2 linked regions of the Sus scrofa genome follow. The protein of the gene in region 1 purifies or fractionates together with the protein of each later gene. This does not show direct contact. Links are inferred from orthologs where the notes say so. Each region holds a gene or a part of one and is shown on either strand. Other genes may lie near its edges.

Region 1 (4,318 bases):
TCAATATTTTAGAAATCATCTGTGTGCTGCTCTTCATACTTTATATAGAGGGGCAAGGTACAGTTAAGTGGGGTTTTGGAAGCATTGCAGGACTGTCCGTGGGGAATATACTTATGACCTCTAGATTAAAATTTTTTTTTTTTTTTTTTTTTTTTTTGTCTTTTTGCTATTTCTTTGGGCCGCTCCCGCGGCATATGGAGGTTCCCAGGCTAGGGGTCGAATCGGAGCTGTTGCCACCGGCCTACGCCAGAGCCACAGCAACGCGGGATCCGAGCCATGTCTGCAACCTACACCACAGCTCACGGCAACGCCGGATCGTTAACCCACTGAGCAGGGGCAGGGACCGAACCCGCAACCTCACGGTTCCTAGTCGGATTCGTTAACCACTGCGCCACGACGGGAACTCCTCTAGATTAAAATTTTTGGAAACTGAGGCCCCCTCACTCTATTCCTTTGGTGCAGAGGTCGTTAACTGAGCTGTTACTAGAACCTTAGTTGTAGCATGACATCCTGTGGGAATACTAAAATACCACAGGTTCAACAGTGAAGCAAATACCTCAAAGCAAGTCACAAGATTTTTTTTTTCTTAGTGTGATTACCTATCATAGATCACCATAACGAATACAGTAATGAAAAAATTTGAAATACTGTAAGAATTATCAAAATGACACAGACACAAAGTGAACAAATGCTCTTGGGAAAATGGCGCTGGGAGATTTGCTGGACTCTGGGCTGCCTCAAACCTTCAATTTGCTAAATTAAAAAAAAAAAAAAAACGAGTTCCCGATGTGGCTCAGGGAGTTAAGAACCGGACTAGTATCCATGAGGATACTAGTTTGATTCCTGGCCTCGCTCAGTAGGTTAAGAATCCAGCGTTGCTTTGTCTATGGCAAAAGCCAGCAGCTGCAGCGCAGATTTGACCCACAGCCTGGGAACTTCCATATGCGGAGGGTTCGGTCCTAAAAAGACCAAAAAAAAAAAAACCGCAGTGTTTGCAGAGGACAACAAAGGGAAGAACAACACATGGAAGTATGCACACACATGCCAAAGAAATTTTTAGGAGCCTACCCCTCCAGAGCTTATTTTCATCTGGTAGCGTCAAGACAACTTTGCAACCCACAAAGACAATGAGTTAACCAGCGTCCTTCAAATGCTAGAGGCAGGAACAGCAACCCAATTACAAAGAGGAATATAAAGACTGGAGGCCCCACCCCTCCGCTCTAGCCAATCCCTGGCGACACAACGGAAGCTTGGGACTGATCTGCGAGCTCAGGATTTTCCTAAGTATCGCGACGTGAAACGTGAAAGCGGCCAACAATCAATTGGCTAACGGGATCAGTGACGTCAGACGCAAAGCACCGGGCCTACCGCTGGAGCGTGAGGGAGAACACGAATTCCGTTTGGAGGTTTCTTTGAGTTCGCGGAGTAGGCATCATGAGCAAAGCTCACCCGCCGGAGTTGAAGAAGTAAGTATGCATGAGGGCCGCGCATAAATGGCGGCTTCTTTGTAGGCCTTGAGTTCCTTGGATCCCCAGCCATTTCCGGAGAGTGTGTCTGCCGTGCTTATTGCCACTGGCTGCCGCCGCGATCCGGGCCACCGTCCCACGTTTCCGGGCCTGCATCCCGCGCAAATGTTGTATTTCGGCCTGGTGGGCATGCTTTTCAAAGACGTAAAGGCCCCTCCGTCTGCAGGTTTGCCTCCCAGGCCGGAGTTCCTGGCCGGGTCTCTGGCACTCGATCCTTCGTTACTTAAAGATCTTGAATACCACAGTTAGCTGAACGCCTTGAGTAGCATCACGTTCGAGATAAGGTGGTTGGACAGTAATTCTGTAAGGAACTAAGGAGGTGGATGGAATGGAATTGTTTTGATGGTATATGAGAAATTCAAAAGCTGCCTTCATCTTAGTGTGTTGGTGGTTCCTTTGAGCTTTAACTTAGAAATCCCGTTCTTGGGAGTTCCCGTCGTGGCGCAGTGGTTAACGAATCCGATTAGAAACCATGAGGTGGCGGGTTCGGTCCCTGCCCTTGCTCAGTGGGTTAAGGATCCGGCGTTGCCGTGAGCTGTGGTGTAGGTTGCAGACTCGGCTCGGATCCCGCGTTTCTGTGGCTCTGGTGTAGGCCAGTGGCTACAGCTCCGATTCAGCCCCTAGCCTGGGAACCTCCATATGCCGCGGGAGCGGCCCAAAGAAATAGCAAAAAGACAAAAAAAAAAAAAGAAATCCCGTTCTTTTTTCTTAATTTCTTGCACTTAGGTTGAACTTGAATGTGTGATATTTTGCTCTGTTAACTGGAATGCGTGAGAACATTCATTTTTCTCTAATTAGAGAAGGCTCTTTTGTTGGGGGGGTGTTCTTGGTAAGATTTCCTTTTTGATTCTTAAGATATTAATGAGAGTTTTTAATTACCTTTCTTTTCTTATATGTAGATTTCAATAATTGTGAGATCCTGCCAGGTCTACCTCCAAAATGACTTTTAACTTTTTCTTCCTTACCATCTTTTTTTGGAGTTCCCTCGTGGCTCAGCCGGTTAAGGATCCAACATGGCACTGCTGTGGTTCAAGTTCAGTCCCTAGCCCAGGAACTTCCGCATGCCACCCACGAGGCCCGAAATCTTTTTTTTTTTTTGCATTTTTATATCTTCCGTCTGCTTTTAATATAATTCTGTGGTTCTTAACTGTGGTGTAGAGAGTCTGGTTCTACCAGCATTTAGTAGGTAGAGGCCAGGGTTCCTGCTAAATATTCTACAGTGCACTGGACATCACTCAACAACAGAATTATCTGGTCCCAGATGTCAGTATGCCAAGGTTGAGATACCCTGGCCCAATCATATTCTTCCTACCCCTCTTAAAAATCATTGCCAAAGTAGTCTTTTTTTTCCCCCAGTTTTTTTGAGATAAAATTGACCTACAGCACTACGTAAGTTCAAGATGTACAGCGTAATGGATTGATTTACACATGCTTCAGTAATCTTAGCCATGCCTGATACTGCTGCAGTAACTTATTGCCATCTGCATAATAAAGTCCAGACTTCTTGAACCAGCAGTAACGCTCCTCCATTTGAAATCCAAGCACCAAATATTACACACGCTAATATTTGAGTACCATGTTCTTGGGCCAAACTGAACCATTTGATTTTGCTCAAACTTTTTCACTGCTGAGTGACTTTGGAAATTTTACTTAACCTTTCTGGGCCTTGGTTCCCCATCTGTTAATTGGTGGTAATAACAATGCATAACTTAAAAAGCTTTCATAAGGATTAAATAAAATAAGTTCATATGTGTTATATTTGTGTTTTTTTATAACATCCTAGTAAAATTGATTGTTTTACATGTCATACTATATATTTTTATTTGTAAAAACCTGTCTTCTTACACCTTCTTCAGGCCTCATGTCTTATTTATCTTTGAATTCTCCATGATATACATTAAAATTGAATGAAGTTTCATATTTTCTAGCCTACAGCAAAGAGGTAAAAACTGGTTTGACTTGTTGGCTTCATATTCTTTTTGTCTTTAGGGCTGCACGCACGGCATATGGAGGTTCACAGGTGGGGGGTCGAATGGGAGCTGTAGCTGTAGCCCCTGGCCTAAACCACAGCCACACCAGATCGGAGCTGTGTCTGTGAGCTACACCACAACTCATGGCAATGCCAGATCCTTAACCACTGAGTGAGGTCAGGGTCCAACCTGCATCCTCATGGATACTCGTTAGATTCACTTCTGCTGAGCCATGACGGGAACGCCCTTGGCTTCATATTCTCATACTACCCTGCTGATATGGAATTTTGTTGCTTAATTCAAATTATTTAAAATTTCAATATGCATTTATTTTGCTAAAGTATACTTGGGTGTTGGAGAATATCCTGAACATTTAAGATTGTTGCTTAATATTAAATAAAACACTATGTATTGTCTCAAATATAAAATAAAATATCCATTGGATTGGATATGGTTTGATTACCTTCTGATTTCTTCACAACTTTGTTTGGTTTTTAAAATAACCAAAATATAACAAAATCTTTGTTTTTCTGTTTTGGTCGTAAGATTCTGTCATTGAATATTGGGTCGGGGAGTTCCTATAGTGGCTCAGTGGGTTTAGACCCTGACTAGCATCCATGAGGATGTGGGTTCGATCCCTGGCCTCACTCAGTGGGTTAAGGATCTAGCATTGCCACAAGCTGCAGCATAGGACACAGATGCAGCTTGGATCTGGCATTGCTGTGGTGTAGGCCAAAGGCCACAGCTCTTATTTGACCCCTAGCCTCGGAACTTCCATATACCACAGGTGTGGCCCTAAAAAAAAAAAAAAAAGGAAGATGA
Region 2 (4,449 bases), about 64 Mb from region 1:
AGTATTAGCCACTTCCTCAATCCTCCCCCCATTCCATGCACCTTCAGGAGGTTGGAGGACAGGTTTTCATTTGGACCAGATGAGCAGCAGCCCCCAAGGGAAGGTGGACAGGAGTCTGTGCCTATCCTGGGGCTTGTAGTCATGAGAAAGGACTCCAAGTAGAGCCCCTACCTTCCCCACCTTGCTAGGTTATAGGAGGGGAAAGACACCCAGTGGAATCAGTCGCCGATTCAGACCCTTCTTTTGAGGATGTGGGCTCTTCATGTGCACAGAAGCCCTCTGGGTCGTAACCTTCCCCTGCCATGTTCCTGTTTAATCTCATCTTCATTCCCAGGCCCCTATCCCAAGCCTGCAGATCTTCTTACCGTGACGAAGACAACATTGTTGGGGAAGACGGACGTGTCTGCTCCATCCAAGGGCACTTGGGGTGCAGCGATGGGACCCCGGCTGGCGGTCAGGGAAGCTGGGAAGCAGCTCCTCTTTTGGACGGTTGAGGTCCCTTCCTCACCCTCTGTTCCTGGGTCCCCCTCAGAAGTCTGGGGTGGCTGACGCAGCTCTTCAGACAAGTAGTGTCGGATGTTTTGGCGGGCCGAGTGGATGAGATGGGGATCAATGTCCAGGCCCACCATGCGGGATGGGCCCCACTTACAGGCAATGCTCAGAGTCAGATGGCCCACGTTGCAGCCCAGATCTAGGACGTCACGACCCCGAAACCACTCAGGCTTCATAACCCGAAGGCGCCCATCCTCACAGGAAGGATTGCGGTACCCATAGTACTTGCAATAATTCCCATACTGGAACTTGCACTGCTGCTTTTTGAAGCCTGCTGCAGGTAGTGGGTGGGGGTGTTGGCGGCCTCCCCCACTCCCTCTGCCCTTTTCCTTGGGACCCTGGCCTCCACCCCTAGCCCCTGCCTCTGACTTGCTGGAAGTCCTGCGACGTTTGCGATGTCGTGAGGAGGAAGACGGGGGTGCAGAGGTAACTGAGGCAGCTGAAGGGGCTGAAAGGGAGCCTGAGGGACCCTGTAGGGCAGATGGAAGGGGAGACACGACCTCATCCCTGCAGTTGATGGCTGTGTTGAGTTCATAGGGTTGGGGGACGTCCCGGTTCTGGCCCCTTTGCCGCTGCTGCTGTGTGGTGCCCTCCCCTTGGAGTGAGGGAGTGAGGGGGGCTGTGGGCAGCACGGAGTGGCTATCATTCCCTCCAGTTGCCTGCTGCTGCTGCTGCTGCTGGTGGTGCTGTCCCCGATGTCTATGCCGCTTCCGACCAGTCTTGAGTGGTGAAGCAAGGACTACTTGGGCCTCATCAGTGCAAGTATTGAGACTGAGAGGGTCAGTAATATCTTTGGGGATGAGTATCTCCACTGGATCTCGTCCCTTGGCCGGAAGTGGGGATGACTTAGGGGTCTCCGCATTGAGTGCACGGCTCACTTCCTCATCCAGGAGACTATTCAGGTTCAGCGGATCAAAGATATTGCCCCCCAGGAGGAAGTTGGAAGGTAAGACAGAGTCACAGTCCGAATTAACCCGCCTGCGCCTCTTGAAGGCCGGATGTTTGAAGCCTCCACCACCTCCCCCTACATTACAGCTATTTCTCCTCTTGCCCCCACCTCCCCCAGGGGGCCGGTGGGGCTGATAGCCATTACGTGGTCGAGGAGGAGCAAGGGGGCCCAGTTCTGTTCCGCCCCCTCCCCGGCGCTCCTCCCCCACGTCCGGGGGAGCGGCTAGCCCCTGGGGATCCGACAAGCAGGCCTCTCCGGTCGACTGGGCCTGGGGGCCGCCCCCTCGCTGCTGCTGCGACTGGCCGCCCCGAGGGGTGGAGGTAGCCCCGGGGCTCTCCTTGCCTGCCCCAGAAGCTGGGGACCCCGCCGAGTGTGCGCGCGGGCCCGGCCCACGCTGCGTCCCGCCGCGGAGCTCCCCGGAGGCGACCTCTCGGTGTGGTTGCACCGTGGGGCCGCCCCCTCCGCCCGACTCATCTTTGAGCGGCGGTGGCGGGGCCGGCACCAGAAACGGCTCCTTCTCCGCCGCCATCTCGATCATTTCCTCCCCTTATTCCGTCCCAGTCGAGGGCAACCAGGGGGACCAGGGGGCTTAACCCCCCCTTCCTAAGACCGCGCTCCCTTCCCCCCTTTCCTGAGTGCGCGCGCAGTTCCGCTTCTCGCCTAGTCTCGTCCCCAAGCGCCTCCCCCGAAGCGCGCCCCACTCGCCCGCGAGACCAAAACAAGATGCCCGCGAGACCCGAACTCGAGGAACCAACCGCGCGTGCGCCGACTCCTTTCTCCTCTACCACTACCGCTTCGCCGCGAGCGCGCACTGCTGGAGCGCGTTCCTCTGGCCCCGGAATCACGCATGCGCACTCAGCCACCACCCTGGTTGCGCGCGCATCAGAGTACGAACCAACTTAACGGCTCCGGGAGTTTAAATATAGCCCCCCTAAGCCCCCCCAACCAAAGCCCACCACCCCAAACTGACGCCCTACTTCCCTTCGCAGCTACGTCCGTCCCTAGTGATATCCTTTGTCTCTGCCGCGCGATCCCACCCACCGTAGGCGGGGGACGGGGAGCTGGTGTGAAAAGGTCTCCTTGACACCCGACCCTTGTTCCTGAGGAATGAGTCTCTGCCGTCTCCGCCCGGCTCTAAACCCAGCAACCTCCCTACCCCGCCTCCTTCCTCCCCCTAGCGGGCAGCGCCTGCGCACACCCTTTTGGGCTTGCGCGGGTAGATGCAGCACGTGCTGGAGATGACGCCCCTCCCTCCGTCCTAGAGGCGGGGACTGCTACGTCGCTTCCTCAGGTTTGGTACGCGCAACATGCGTCAGCACGATTCGGAGGGGCGTGGCTAAAGAACGGGGAGGCCCTCGTGAATTATTCATAAAGTGGTGGCCCTCTTGGCCCACCTATTTCTAAAGAGGGGCGAACCTAGAAGTAGGAGAAGGAAAGGAGCGGAGTGTACCCACTGTCTTCCTAACTACTGTTCTCAGTATAATACAATAGGTCATTTTAACTCACCCCCCTGGAAAATATTCTCTGATGAACTGGGGGAAAAAAAGTACTAAGGCGATGTTGTCCAACTTCCTCTTTCCCCGAAACGGCCAGGTCGTTCTCTCGCTCCTCCGCCTTCCCTCAATCGCGATCACCTGGGGACACCACGCCCTCCTCTCCGCCTCCACACCCACCACCCGACGCCTGCTCGCGAGCCCCTCCCCCCGTTAGGGAACGGCGACCCAGACGCCCACCACAGCCACCAATAACAGTATATCTACCACCACCGCCCCCTTTGCACGCAGGCTTTTCCGAGCACCCGCGGCGCGTTTGCGCCGCCTTATATAAAAACGAACGTGGGCAGGGAAGAGATTTCGGTCGGCTTTGGGGGCCCCGGCCTCAGCCAATGGGGAACAAGCTACTCGATGCCCTTTTCAGAGGGGGCCCGTTCTCCGGGCCCACAGCGATTGGGGTTTGGGTCCTGTGGCTGCGAAGAGGGCGAAAGAGGCGGGAGTGGTGTTAAGGGTAGTCTCAAAATATCAAAATAAGGGTTTGAAGGAGACTCAAAGGGAGAATGGGAATCAGGAAGGAAGTCTAGGGCAGAGAAAAAAGTTAGGAAAAGGAAGATGGGCTTCATGAACGATCAGGCACTGCTGCTGCCACCTAAAAAAAAAAAAAAGTGAGGCCAACCAGGATTATGGGACTTGTAGTTTTACAGGGCGTTTGTTTGGAAGATGGCGCTATAACTCAGCTGCGCAAGCGCCGAACTAGCTTCCAGCTGCGCATGCGCAGCAGTCCTGCGAGCACGCCGCTTGTAGGAGGGGTGGGGTGGAGCTTGTGTGTGGCCTCGCGCCTTACCTTGCTTGGTGGCGGGAAAACTGGCTCGAGTTTTGGAGGGGTTTGCAGAGTTGCTGCGGTAGCTCATTCTGCTCCTGGCCTTTAGGTCCTCCTCGCTCCAGAAGATTGCTGGTGCTTTTCCGGTTGCAGGTGAAGGTGCTAGGCGCGGCCAATCCTAGTACCTGTTGCCTGAGGAGAGGTTTTCTCTTTAGGGCGAGGACCAACTCTTAGCCTGAGGAGAAGTTTTCTCTTTAGGACGAGGACCAACTCTTAGCTCTCTCCTCAGAATCTCCAACAGCAAACTCGCACCCAACAAACAAACAAAAGTAACCCAGTAGTATCGGGGCGGGCGACGACGGGCCGGAGAGAATGAGGATCCTGGTGCCTCCGCGGGCTGGGGGAGGGGAGAGGGAGCTGAGGGGAAATTCACGAGGAGTTTCTTGATGGGGAAGAGACAGTCACTGTTTTACCTATTGAGGGGAGTGAAGAACTTTTGCCTGTGGTACCTTTGGTGTTAATTGCCGTCCTTAAGAGGGAATTGGTGAGGGAAGAGAGAAGGGAAATGTAGGTCGCCCAAAATTCTTCCTTCTGGTTTTAAAGGTGGAAGTAGGCCTTTTACTGTTCCAAGCCTT

What was found.
Region 2: the proteins of SNRPG (region 1) and MEPCE purify together in Homo sapiens (affinity purification with mass spectrometry; 3 studies listed by BioGRID and IntAct, counting the BioPlex papers as one, with this or other methods). This does not show direct contact. The link is inferred for Sus scrofa from reciprocal best matches to the Homo sapiens genes SNRPG and MEPCE.

The regions. Positions count from the first base shown.
Region 1 is NC_010445.4:72,197,410-72,201,727, forward strand, and holds the start of SNRPG (small nuclear ribonucleoprotein G), read left to right. Parts: upstream 1-1,312; 5' UTR 1,313-1,434; coding exon 1,435-1,466; intron 1,467-4,318. UniProt on the Homo sapiens protein: Plays a role in pre-mRNA splicing as a core component of the spliceosomal U1, U2, U4 and U5 small nuclear ribonucleoproteins (snRNPs), the building blocks of the spliceosome.
Region 2 is NC_010445.4:8,355,249-8,359,697, reverse strand, and holds the start of MEPCE (7SK snRNA methylphosphate capping enzyme), read right to left. Parts: upstream 3,097-4,449; 5' UTR 2,040-3,096; coding exon 366-2,039; intron 1-365. UniProt on the Homo sapiens protein: S-adenosyl-L-methionine-dependent methyltransferase that adds a methylphosphate cap at the 5'-end of 7SK snRNA (7SK RNA), leading to stabilize it.